2 linked regions of the Saccharomyces cerevisiae S288C genome follow. The gene in region 2 interacts genetically with the main gene of each other region. Each region holds a gene or a part of one and is shown on either strand. Other genes may lie near its edges.

Evidence for each region. Genes that interact genetically often act in the same process or in processes that back each other up.
Region 1: mutations in YOL019W-A (region 2) and CUL3 together harm fitness more than expected from each alone (negative genetic interaction), as found in Saccharomyces cerevisiae (one large-scale study listed by BioGRID).

Annotation. Positions count from the first base shown.
Region 1 is NC_001139.9:498,576-505,150, forward strand, and holds CUL3 (cullin CUL3), read left to right. Parts: upstream 1-1,556; coding exon 1,557-3,791; downstream 3,792-6,575. Other genes in the region: SWC4 (Swc4p), read right to left, coding at 1-1,331; PEX31 (peroxisome biogenesis protein), read left to right, coding at 4,363-5,751; transcription factor IIF subunit TFG2, read right to left, coding at 6,082-6,575. UniProt on the Saccharomyces cerevisiae protein: As part of the CRL3 E3 ubiquitin ligase complex; polyubiquitylates monoubiquitylated RNA polymerase II subunit RPO21 to trigger its proteolysis; plays a role in global genomic repair.
Region 2 is NC_001147.6:286,518-291,836, forward strand, and holds YOL019W-A (uncharacterized protein), read left to right. Parts: upstream 1-1,902; coding exon 1,903-2,055; downstream 2,056-5,319. Other genes in the region: aromatic amino acid transmembrane transporter TAT2, read left to right, coding at 1-1,433; TOS7 (Tos7p), read left to right, coding at 2,381-4,036; t-SNARE syntaxin TLG2, read right to left, coding at 4,364-5,319.

The DNA of each region.
Region 1 (6,575 bases), on a different chromosome or scaffold from region 2:
ACATCAAATGAGGGCATCACAGGGCGAGAAGGTAACGATAATTCTTGAAGAATGGCGAGAATTTTGTTCTGCAGCGCAGGTTTGAAGGTCGATAATTTTGTAGATCTTAAGTATACACCCGGCGATAGCTTCTCACCATGCGTAATCACACCTAAAGCCTTCCTTTCATCTGAATTGAAATCTTTCAGCAATTGTTCTGCATATGCGCTTTCTGACTTTCTTTTGAGCGCCGTTTGCATTTCCTGTCTTTGTCTTTTGGTTTTCTTGGGGGAGAGATTTTCCTTGACTTCTGACTTTTTTACATTCAGTTGTTGAAGTTGCCTATGTTGGGCAAACTGCTGTTGCTGCTTCATCCAAGGATTTTCAGGGATGTTCAAATCGTGCTTCCGCTTTCTAGTTTTATCTGCTAGAAGCGCGTTATATAACTGAGACATTCCCTGAGAGGTAAGGTATTGTGTAATTGTCTGATCTGAATGTGGCGAGTCCAACAGTCGGAGTAATGATTCTCTTTCTGCAAGTGTTCTCTTGGCAGCCATTTCAAATTTTTTGGACTCTACTACGAGTGCCTCTTCTTCAGCAATTTCTGCTGCAGAACGAGAAAGAAGACGCTGTAAATACTTTTTTCTCTCTATCTCCTTTTCAGCTGAAAAATTCAAAGAAGATAAAAGCGGATTGCTAGGATCACTTGCTTTAAAATAATTCCTACAGGTGTAATAAAATTTTTCTTTGAGATCTTCAAGTGTTCTTGAATTATTATAACTGTATCTGTCAAAGATCAGGAACCAACGTAAATCGTATTTTTTGCAGAGATTGAACAGGTATTCTATTTCTTCAAAAGACCAGCTATTTTTACTTTCATCCTTCTTTTCATTAGTAAAGTTTTCGTTATGGTTTTTTTCACTTTCTACGCTTTTTTGAGTTCCTTCGTTTTCATTCATAAAAGCCTCGTACTCCTCCTTGGTGAATGATGGAATAGATAAATGCTGATTGAACTTAGAATATGGCGATTCTTTTGGTGTGTCTCCTATTAATTCTTTGGAACCCTTGACCCAATGACGCAGAGTCACAGAGTTATTAGCTTTGAACTCTACAAATGACCAAGGAGATGGCTTGGACGTCGAAAGCATTTTTTCTTTAAAGTTATTTCCAGACTTAATAACAACGGGGGGTTGGTTCTCTCCTAGCAGGTTAAATAGTTCTCTTTGCATGCCCGTCACTTGAGGCTTGGGCCGGTTGGCTGCCGAGGACGAAGGCACTGATACCTGGCCATTAGTTGGACTTCTGGATTTTTGCTTAATGTTTAGTACATCAAAGATGTCTGATGATGACATATTACCTGTGGTTTTTTTACTAAATTTTCGTATTATCGGAGAAATATGTTATGAATGCTTGTTGCTATTAAAATACAAAGTGGATTCTTGATTTATCACTAAATAGCTACCCGGAGTTGGCGCATCGCAACTTCATTAAATAAGTTCGAGTGTGCGTATTCTAATCTGATTCATATAAAGTATACTCTAAACGGGCTAACTCAAATCTGAAATTAGGGCTACTATATGATAACTAATAAGAAAATAAAGATAAGTGTCCCAGAAAAACTCGGTTTGTCAGAAGAATCTTTTGAGGAATCCTGGGAAACAGTTAAATATGCCATTGATCATATATACAGCGATGACATGGCCGACCTTTCCTTCGAACAAGTGTACAAGACCATTTATACTATCGTTTTAAATAAAAAGGGGCCAATACTTTATAACAGATTGAAAGATTATTTAATCCAAAAATTAGCGCTTTTGAGGGAAACGATAGTCAAGGACAATACTCATGATTATGAGTTTCTTGGAACTATGGCACGGTTATGGGAGGTGCAATGCCATTGTTTTAAAATAACGGGAGACTTAATGATGTATATGGACAAAGTTTATTGCAAACCAAATAGATGCATGGAGGTATACGACATGTGCCTCGATCTTTTCCGAATCGAAATATTGCAAAAATGCTCATCTTCTCTCATCTCAGCACTGATATCTGATATAGAAAGGATTCGTAATTTAGGATCTGTCGACTCCGAACATACTAGTTTGTGGAAAGTACTAATAGGAATGATGGAGACATTACATGACAATAGAGATAGTTTTTTCTTAACCGATTTTGAGCCGGTTTTGATTAGCGCGACAGAAGAATACTACAATAAAGCTATTGATATTGAATTATTAACGCCAATTGAGAGCCTGGAAAAGATTAGGAAGTTAAGGCAGTTTGAAAGTATGCTAGACTCCTCTTTTCTAAATGTGGATTCTCATAATAAGTTGAAGACTGTATTAGAAAATGTCCTTATATGGGGAAAGTTGAGTGATATTATTGAAGATCTAACGCACGAAGCAATGGTAATTTCAAATGGAAAGCTACTCCAAGAAATTTATGACTTGTCAAGCGAGGAAAAATATCGCGTTACTGTCATTGAATCTATTAAATCTTACATCAATAAAAATGCCATAAATATTCCTTTTAATGAAGGTAACCGCAAAAAAGGGCAGAATGCGATTACTTGGTCTTCGGAAATTGTAGAGCTATATCGCAGTCAACACTCGTTTTTGGAAAGTATTGATTTTGGTTCTGTTCGTCTTAATAATTTGACCGGGGATGTATCTAATGCAATACTTGGCGATGTTTTCTCAATGTATTTCTCTAAAGAAGGAGCATTACCATCTGAGTATCTTTCTACCTACGTGGACCATTGTATGAAACGAACCAAGGAAAAAGATGCTGAAATAGTGAAGATCAAGCAAGATTTGCTTGATAGTACCAAATTAATCGGACTCCTAACTGAGAAGGATATATTTGAAAAGATTTACAAAAAACAACTCTCCAGAAGATTACTGCAGCAGAGGTCTTTAGTGGAAATTGAAAAATGGATGGTGCAAATGATAAAGAAGGTTCTAGGAACTTTTTTTACCTCAAAATTGGAGATAATGCTGCGAGATATATCTTTATCCTCTGAAATGTATCAAGCATTCCAACACTCAACAATCAACAGCATAGAATATTTGAGTTTTGCACCACAAGTTTTGACGAGAACGAGCTGGCCCTTTCAGAGTACTAATCCAATTGATGAAGGTATTTCACTACCTCCTAGAATGTCACAAATTTTAGCTGGCTTTGAGGGCTATTACAGCTTAAAATACAAAGAAAGAGTGCTAAAGTGGGCTCATCATCTAAGTGTAATTGAAATTGGCTGCCAATTTAATAGCGGTTACTACGAAATAAGTTTTTCTGTTTACGCTGGAGTGATTTTCCTTCTATTTGAAGATTATGAAGAATTAACGTTGGGGGAAATATATGAACTAACTCATATTCCCATAGATGACGTTAAGTCTCTTGTAATGTCAATGTCGACAATACCCAGATGTAAGATTTTGAAAAAATCATCCAGTTCAGGAAATATGAAATTTTCAGTTAATTATTTCTTTTCTTCTCCAAACAGGAAAGTGAAAGTGCCGGTTATTGCATGCCCTCTACCATCTCAGAAATCAGATAATTTGGCAACCGCAAGTTCCGTGGACACTTATGATAATGAAATTGTTATGGAGCTTAGTGCTATTATTGTTCGTATCATGAAAACAGAAGGTAAGCTAAGCCATCAGCAATTACTTGAAAGAACTACGAAACGGACACAGTCTCGGCTCAGTCTTACACCGAGCATTTTGAAACGAAGCATTCAGCTTTTAATAGAGAAAGAATACATCCAGAGAAACGCAGATGACCCCTCTTATTACCATTACCTTTCCTAATTGCTTATAATGAAAATCACAGGTATAAGGTTTGCAGAATGCCAACAGTATATATAGATGGCAGTTCCTATCCGGCTGCCAGAGCGAACAATATTAAGAGGATATGCGTCGATACTAATTGAATGTTCATCCTGCATTCCTTAGTGAAACTTTCAAAATATATAATAACATAGTTATGGTAGACTATATATCCCAGTCAAACTTGAATGTAATGTGGAGTGGGTAATCGATATCTCTTGAAGTTTATTATGCCTCATTATATTTTTATAAAAAACTTCTAGGAATTTGTTGAGTCAAATAATTTCTTTCTTAATCATTAAGTAAGTTAAAGTTACGAGCCTTTCAGACCTGCGTAGCACTGCTTCAAAGGAACTATTATCAATAGCAGCGCCTTGCTCTTTTTTTTTTTTCAGATGCTTAGCGGCCGTATTTCACTTTTCCTGGTAGAAAAATATATGTTGAAATTTACGGTATAAGAGAAGCTCACCAAAATTATTATCAATAAAGCGGCACTTTTAAATTTGGTATTCTTCCCTGGTTGTCAAGCCTTGGTTTCCCTTTATTTGATAGTATGAGCGAAATAAATAATGAAAATCTAGAGCCAACCTCAAGTACAGTAGCTGAGTCTACAGAAAGCAAGAATAAACACATTCGTAGCGCTTTAAGAAAACGAAGAGGTAAATTAAGCGCCCAAACTTATGAGGAAGATCAAGAGGCTATTTTATCATCTCCTTTATTGACTTCAACACCTAAAACAGTCTCCAGGTCATTAGTGAGGTTATACCCATATTTAATTGTTGTGGATAACTTTCTAAGTATCATCACTTGGTCCAATGACAATGTCTCTGCAAACTTGCTTGGAATATTCTTATTTACGGTTTGTGTTCTATATTTTGGATTTATTACAAGGTATTTTGGACATTTAATGATCGTTGGTATAATATGGGTATATCTTTTAATTGACAAGCACGTTCAAGAAACAATGGCATCTTGCCCTTCATTGGATGATATAATACACGTTATGGATAGGGTTTCTATGAAATCTAGCGCTGTGTTATCTCCTATTACGATTTTGAGCGCTCAGGATGTTAGAAGACTGTTATTTACCATTGCCTTCCTATCCCCAGTTTATATTTTTCTAACAGTGTTTGTGCTATCTCCAAACTATTTAATGTTAATAGGGGGTCTGTATGTGCTTACGTACCATTCTAAACTAATCCGAAGAATGAGAAGATACTTGTGGAAATTTCGCGTTGTTAGATTACTTGTATTTTTCATAACAGGATTAGACCTTGGTGGACCAGATAATAATAGGCGCTTGTTTGCTTCTGTCAATAAGAAAATAAGGTCCTTTGTTTGGAATGAGGTAGGGAACACATCTAACACTAAAAAGACTGTACTTTTCAAGGTTGCTCTGTTTGAAAACCAGCGCCGCTGGCTTGGCATCGGATGGACATCAACTATGTTGAGTTATGAGCGCGCATCTTGGACAGATGAATTCCTAAATACTTCTCCAAGCCCAGAAGTGTTTACTTTACCAGAGGAGCAGTCGGGAATGGCTTGGGAATGGCACGATAAAGATTGGATGCTTGACCTAACAAATGATGGGATCATTCAACTTCCTGCTTCTGCTGCTAAGACAAAAGTTAAGCCAGGTGCAGATGAAGGTTTCATATATTATGATAACACCTGGAATAATCCCTCTGCAACGGACACATATAAAAAGTACACAAGAAGAAGGAGGTGGATCAGGACTGCAACAGTAACAACAACGTATGACGATGAGCCCACTGTAGAAAAAGCTACACCGAATTCTCATGCTCTGAAGAGTGAAGAAAATAATAGAGTTAGAAAAAGAAAAGTGTCATTTAGTACAGCAAATGAAGTGCATATCATACCTTCCTCGGACAGTAGCAAATTAATACAAATATCTGATGTTTCAATGTCTCCTTCTCTATAATGAGTGCATGCCCCATATGGACAACAACGTTCACACTGGTCGGTGCAAGGGCACACAGCAATCTCAGAGTTTCTTTCATTGGCTGCATGGAGCACAAATTCAATCTTGTGCTTTAAAGTATCTGCGCGGTTATGGCAAGTTCTCCATCAGTCTCTTATTCCAGCAAGCATTCTTTTACGGAACTTCAATGCATCTAAATACATATGTACAGATAGCCAAAACTAATAGAGACATAATAAATTAAACAAAACTGTAAATTTTAAAAAGAGTATATATAGGGCTCAAGAAACTGCGTAAATATAAAATTAATGAAGAAAATCTGATTGTCAACTAAACGACATCTTCCATTTCTATTTCATCTTCCAAGTCAGCCTCCGCGTCTCCTTGCGCATTGTCTCCAGCGGAACCTGTTTGCTCATCAGCTAGTTCACCTAAGGTTGCCTTTCTCTCCTCCTCTTTCAACTTTTTATACTCTGGCCTTAAAGTGTATTTGAATGCATATGGGCCCTTCTTCACTAGAGTGGCAACTTTATCCAAACACTCCTTTAAATGTGCTTCAGGTTGCCTAGTACGTTCCTTCAACCCCTTCAAGGACCAGTAGTCATACTCATCAAATAACTTGAACAAGTAATCCAAGATTTCCTTCTTTGGCATACGAATAGATTTAATATTGCTCTTGGCCTTCTCACGCCCCACTTTCAAGAAATTCGAGTTGTCTGACCTCATGGACATACCTGTGTGGCTCATCGTAACACCAACGGTTTCATCCAAAGTTGTGATCCTTTCCTTATTATTAAGCTTGACAATATTTCTTCTCTGTTCAA
Region 2 (5,319 bases):
TCGTCATTGGTTGGGCTATTGCAGGCTCTCAAATCATCGGGACGATTCATGGGCTAGGTGAAATCACGGTGCGGTTCCCCGTTGTCGGGGCCTTTGCCAATTACGGCACAAGGTTTTTGGATCCAAGTATAAGTTTTGTTGTTTCGACCATATACGTGCTACAGTGGTTTTTTGTATTACCCTTAGAAATCATTGCGGCGGCAATGACCGTACAGTACTGGAACTCGTCTATTGACCCCGTAATTTGGGTAGCCATCTTTTATGCTGTTATTGTTTCCATAAATTTGTTTGGTGTACGAGGTTTTGGGGAAGCGGAATTTGCATTTTCCACCATAAAAGCAATAACAGTTTGCGGATTCATTATATTGTGCGTTGTCCTCATTTGCGGTGGAGGTCCCGACCACGAGTTCATTGGCGCCAAATACTGGCACGACCCTGGTTGTTTGGCCAATGGGTTCCCGGGCGTTCTATCTGTTCTTGTTGTTGCTTCGTATTCTCTCGGTGGTATAGAAATGACGTGCCTGGCATCAGGTGAAACGGACCCCAAAGGCTTACCAAGTGCTATCAAGCAAGTGTTTTGGAGGATCTTATTTTTCTTTTTGATATCACTGACCCTGGTAGGATTCCTGGTTCCATATACAAACCAAAACTTACTGGGTGGTTCATCTGTGGACAACTCACCTTTTGTCATTGCCATAAAATTGCATCACATTAAAGCCTTGCCCTCCATCGTCAATGCGGTCATCCTTATCAGTGTTTTGAGTGTAGGTAACTCCTGCATCTTCGCTTCAAGTAGAACGTTGTGTTCGATGGCCCACCAAGGCCTTATTCCATGGTGGTTTGGTTATATCGACCGTGCTGGTAGGCCACTGGTTGGCATTATGGCAAATTCACTATTTGGATTACTAGCATTTCTGGTCAAATCTGGCTCGATGTCTGAAGTTTTCAATTGGTTAATGGCCATTGCCGGCCTGGCCACGTGCATTGTCTGGTTGAGCATCAACCTGTCACATATCAGATTTAGACTGGCGATGAAGGCTCAAGGGAAGTCTCTGGATGAATTAGAATTTGTTAGTGCTGTCGGGATTTGGGGATCAGCGTATTCCGCTTTAATCAACTGTCTAATCTTGATAGCTCAATTCTATTGTTCACTATGGCCCATTGGTGGCTGGACCAGCGGCAAAGAAAGGGCTAAAATATTTTTTCAAAATTATCTGTGTGCCTTAATCATGTTATTTATATTCATCGTCCACAAAATTTATTACAAGTGTCAAACAGGCAAATGGTGGGGGGTTAAGGCGTTAAAGGACATAGATTTGGAAACCGATCGTAAAGATATCGACATCGAAATAGTCAAGCAAGAAATTGCCGAAAAGAAAATGTACCTAGATTCCCGTCCATGGTACGTGAGACAGTTCCATTTCTGGTGTTAATACCGAAGAAACAAGTTCAATTTATTTTTGTAGAATATTTTTTTTTCTCTTCTCTAGTACTCATCCTTCATAATTAATTATTCCAGATCATTTAATGCATAACGACATGACAATAAAAAAAAAACCTGACATTTTGAAAAATTATCATTTGAATACGTGGATGAAGACTTCTTCGAGCCAGGCCGCAATAAAATTAATAATATATATAGACATCAATTCTTGACCTACACAAAAATAGCTTCTCTCGGTAGCCAAGTTGGTTTAAGGCGCAAGACTGTAATTTATCACTACGAAATCTTGAGATCGGGCGTTCGACTCGCCCCCGGGAGATATTTTTTTACTTTTGCACATCGCTGGTCTTAGCTTTTTTACTTGATTCGCATTGCAATCTATCTGCCAAGAATGAACAAGTATTTTTTTCCTCTGCATCTTTCCCTGCCGTAGGAATCAAATTTGCAACAAGTCTGCAATGTCTAACACCTTTGTTGCAGTCGAATTCTCGTGGCTGTACGCAATTTCTCTTATCCTACCGTGTGAAACAATTCGCGTCGCGTGGGCGCCGAAAAGGGCTTATCACGGCACATCTGAAGAAAAGAGACGGCTGGCTCCAGCTGATATTTAGATATTTTTAGTTGAATAAAGAGGCAGGCGTCAGCGATATTGCATTGTCGCTGTGGTGGGCAGAAAGCCACGGTAATGCATGTCCTGTTGTCTCTTATCCTTGTTGATAAGAAACCCTCTTGATCAGCTAGTCATAATTTTGTCTCTTCTTGCATTCTCTTTCCGATATATAACTTATATCTTCAGGTGTCAGGCAATAGAAACAACAAGGCACAGCGTTAAAAGACCATCATTTCATTTTAGCTTGTCCAAGCACATACCATTTTTCACTCAAGCTATAGCAGAGAAGTTAGTAAACATTAATAGATTATAATATAAGAAAGGCTATGAAGAAAAATTCTTCGGTAGTTTTCTTCCTTGTGGGTCTATCACAATTCGTCACTATGGCGTTTCTCATTATCGGATCCATTACGGCTCCAATTTTCAAACAAATAGGCTATTCTAAATATGATGAGATCACATACGGTACATTCGGCTACTGTAAAGAGGGCTCCTGCTCAAAAGCAAGTTATAATTATCACCCCGATGAGCTATCAGACAGTGATAGCAACTGGAAACTCAATAGCAACGCTAGGTCTATATTGGGGAAAATCATCTTTATCACACCCATTGCTGCTGGTCTTAATTTTTTGGGATTTCTTTGTACCATCATGAGCGTTTTATTAATTAACGTGCTATCCAGTGATAGAGTTGGTAGTGCGTCTGCCATCATGTTTTTTGTTAATTTGACATTTTCCACTCTAGGCTTTCTTTCTGCTTCTTTGATATGTATCGTGGTATTTTTACTGTTTTACCCACATGTAACCTGGTGTTCATGGGTCCTGATACCAGGAGCTGCTTTATCTCTACTAGTAATTCCTTTGATATTCTCAGCTTATTCAAGAAGCTCAGGCTCAAGGGATGATGACGAAACCGAGGAACTGGAAGAAAAGGGCATGCTGCTGAATGACCCATATCTAAGTTCGAAGTCCGGGAGATTCGATATCGACGCTGATAGTGAGGCCAACCTCCGTGGTGATTCAAGAACGAATTTATTGGGTGACAATTTTAAGAACGGTACTAATATCACTGTTGTCCCAGATATTATTTCACACAATCAAGATCCGAAATTATCAAACATAACCACTTCTACCACGTCTGATATTTCTACTTTCGATAAAGAAGCAAAGGACATGGAAAATTCAAATGGTTCCGGACTTAATGAAGAAGAGGACGATGGCATGGCCTATGACAAAAGGAGGTCAACTTCAACGTATTCTGTCATTGAAAGTGAAAGTGGCTTGAAAAATGGGAGTGTTTCTAATAATTATGTGAGAAACAATGGTAGTAACACCAGCAACAATATAAACTATAAAGTTCCGCTAGGAAAAACGGAAATATCATCCAGTGCATCATTAGCGTCCTCAGACTACTCTCAAAGAGAGGTCATACCGCACAGAAATCCTTCGAGACTACTAAACGACATCATGGAGACCTCCTTCAATGAACCAAACGATAGCCACATCAACAGCATGTCCTCCTACAACGATAAAGATTCAACGTTGACTTCAATATCACAGAGAGGTGTCAATCCGGAAGTATACAATCAAATGCCTCGAGAAACAGCCGCTGGTCCTGCAAATATAAGGCCGTACGCTGGTCAGCCACACCCGGCGCCATTAGTGTATCCCCAACAACGACTACAACCACAACAACAGCAACCACAGCAGCAATATCATCAATACAATTTATATCAAAGAACTACTCCTGCTGGTCCAGATCCTTCTAATGTTATTTTACAAAGCAATCCTTATTTCAACGTTGCCCCAAACCAAGTGCCACAGCACAGAAATCCGGTACCAGGCGTCGGTTTTGCTCCGAATCCTTTACCAAACCAAAGCCCGATAACACAAGGATATAAGCCTGCCTATAAGAGGAGAATGCAAAACAAAAACTTGCCCCGAGCTACTACTTCACTGAACAATCCTTACGGATTTAGGTAAAAAAAGAAAAATGAAGGTTCTTTTTTTTTTTTTATATTCTACAAATCACAATAACCACCAACTTGTATTAAACCATATTTTATCATCTTCAGGAACTACTTATGCACAATATTCGTTCGCCAGTCTTTACTTGCGGTTCAATTTTATCCCATATAAATTTGTATTTTATTATCATACTACATACTTTATTGAAATCATATATTAACCTTTTCACTTTTCTCAAATAGAACGAGCAACAGGTCATATGAACGCTGACTAAATCTCTCAATTTTCTTCAAAGCATATTATAGTTCAAAATCGCGATGCGGTACCGTGAAAGTTTTGTCATCAAAGTAGGTCATCCAAAGCATCATTCTCAGATTCTGTTACTTCAACGATACTCGGCAAGTTGCTCTCTTCGTCATTAATATGGGTATTACTGCCGTCATCATGACTGTTATTAACTGTTTTATTATCATCATTGTTGTACTTGTTGCTACCATTATTACGACCACCACTGCCACCGCCATGTGGTTTCAACATAACAAAGAAAAAGAGCGCTATTACGCACAATGTTAGTAATAAAATGACTTTACATTTTTGAGTTCTCTTCTGGTAGTGTGTTGCTTTATTCAACTCTTTATCTGCACTTTTTAGCTCTACCACTGTATTTTCCAGATTATAATCAATCCTGTCCACAATAGTCCCCTGGTCAACAACCAAATCTTGCATTTCCCTGAAAATAGTGCTCACTTCTAATACACCCCTTGCCAACTGAGTAATTTCTTCGTCACGTTCTCTCAAATATGCTTCTGCAGAAGTGTCATGAAGCTGTTGCTGTCTCTGCAACGTCCTTTTTGAATAGTCTTCAATATCGAGGCCCTCTCTCTTCTCTCTTGCTGCCTCCTCTTCCTCATCATCTAATAATAGCGTGTTCTCTGCACTGGCCTTATTGCGGATAGGTTTCAAATCATCCTTGTTCAAGAATTTCAAGTAATTATTTTGTAATACTCTGAACTTATTACTTTCAGTTTGTATCTTTTCTGCATAGATCTTCTGTAGATTATCTAGTATAATCAGCTCTTCTCGACTTAATTGCTTACCATCCACAAATTGAGAGTTGTATATGGTCTTTAATCGTTTCATAACAGCGTAACATTTCTGCAGCATCTGAATTACTTTGAAACTTAGATCTTCAATCAGCGCCTCATCATGACTCTTGTCTTCAAAGCCAGGTAACGAATTCTTCCTATAAACCTTCGCCAACTGCTCACTTAACCGTCTCACCTCCAGAAGATAATCAT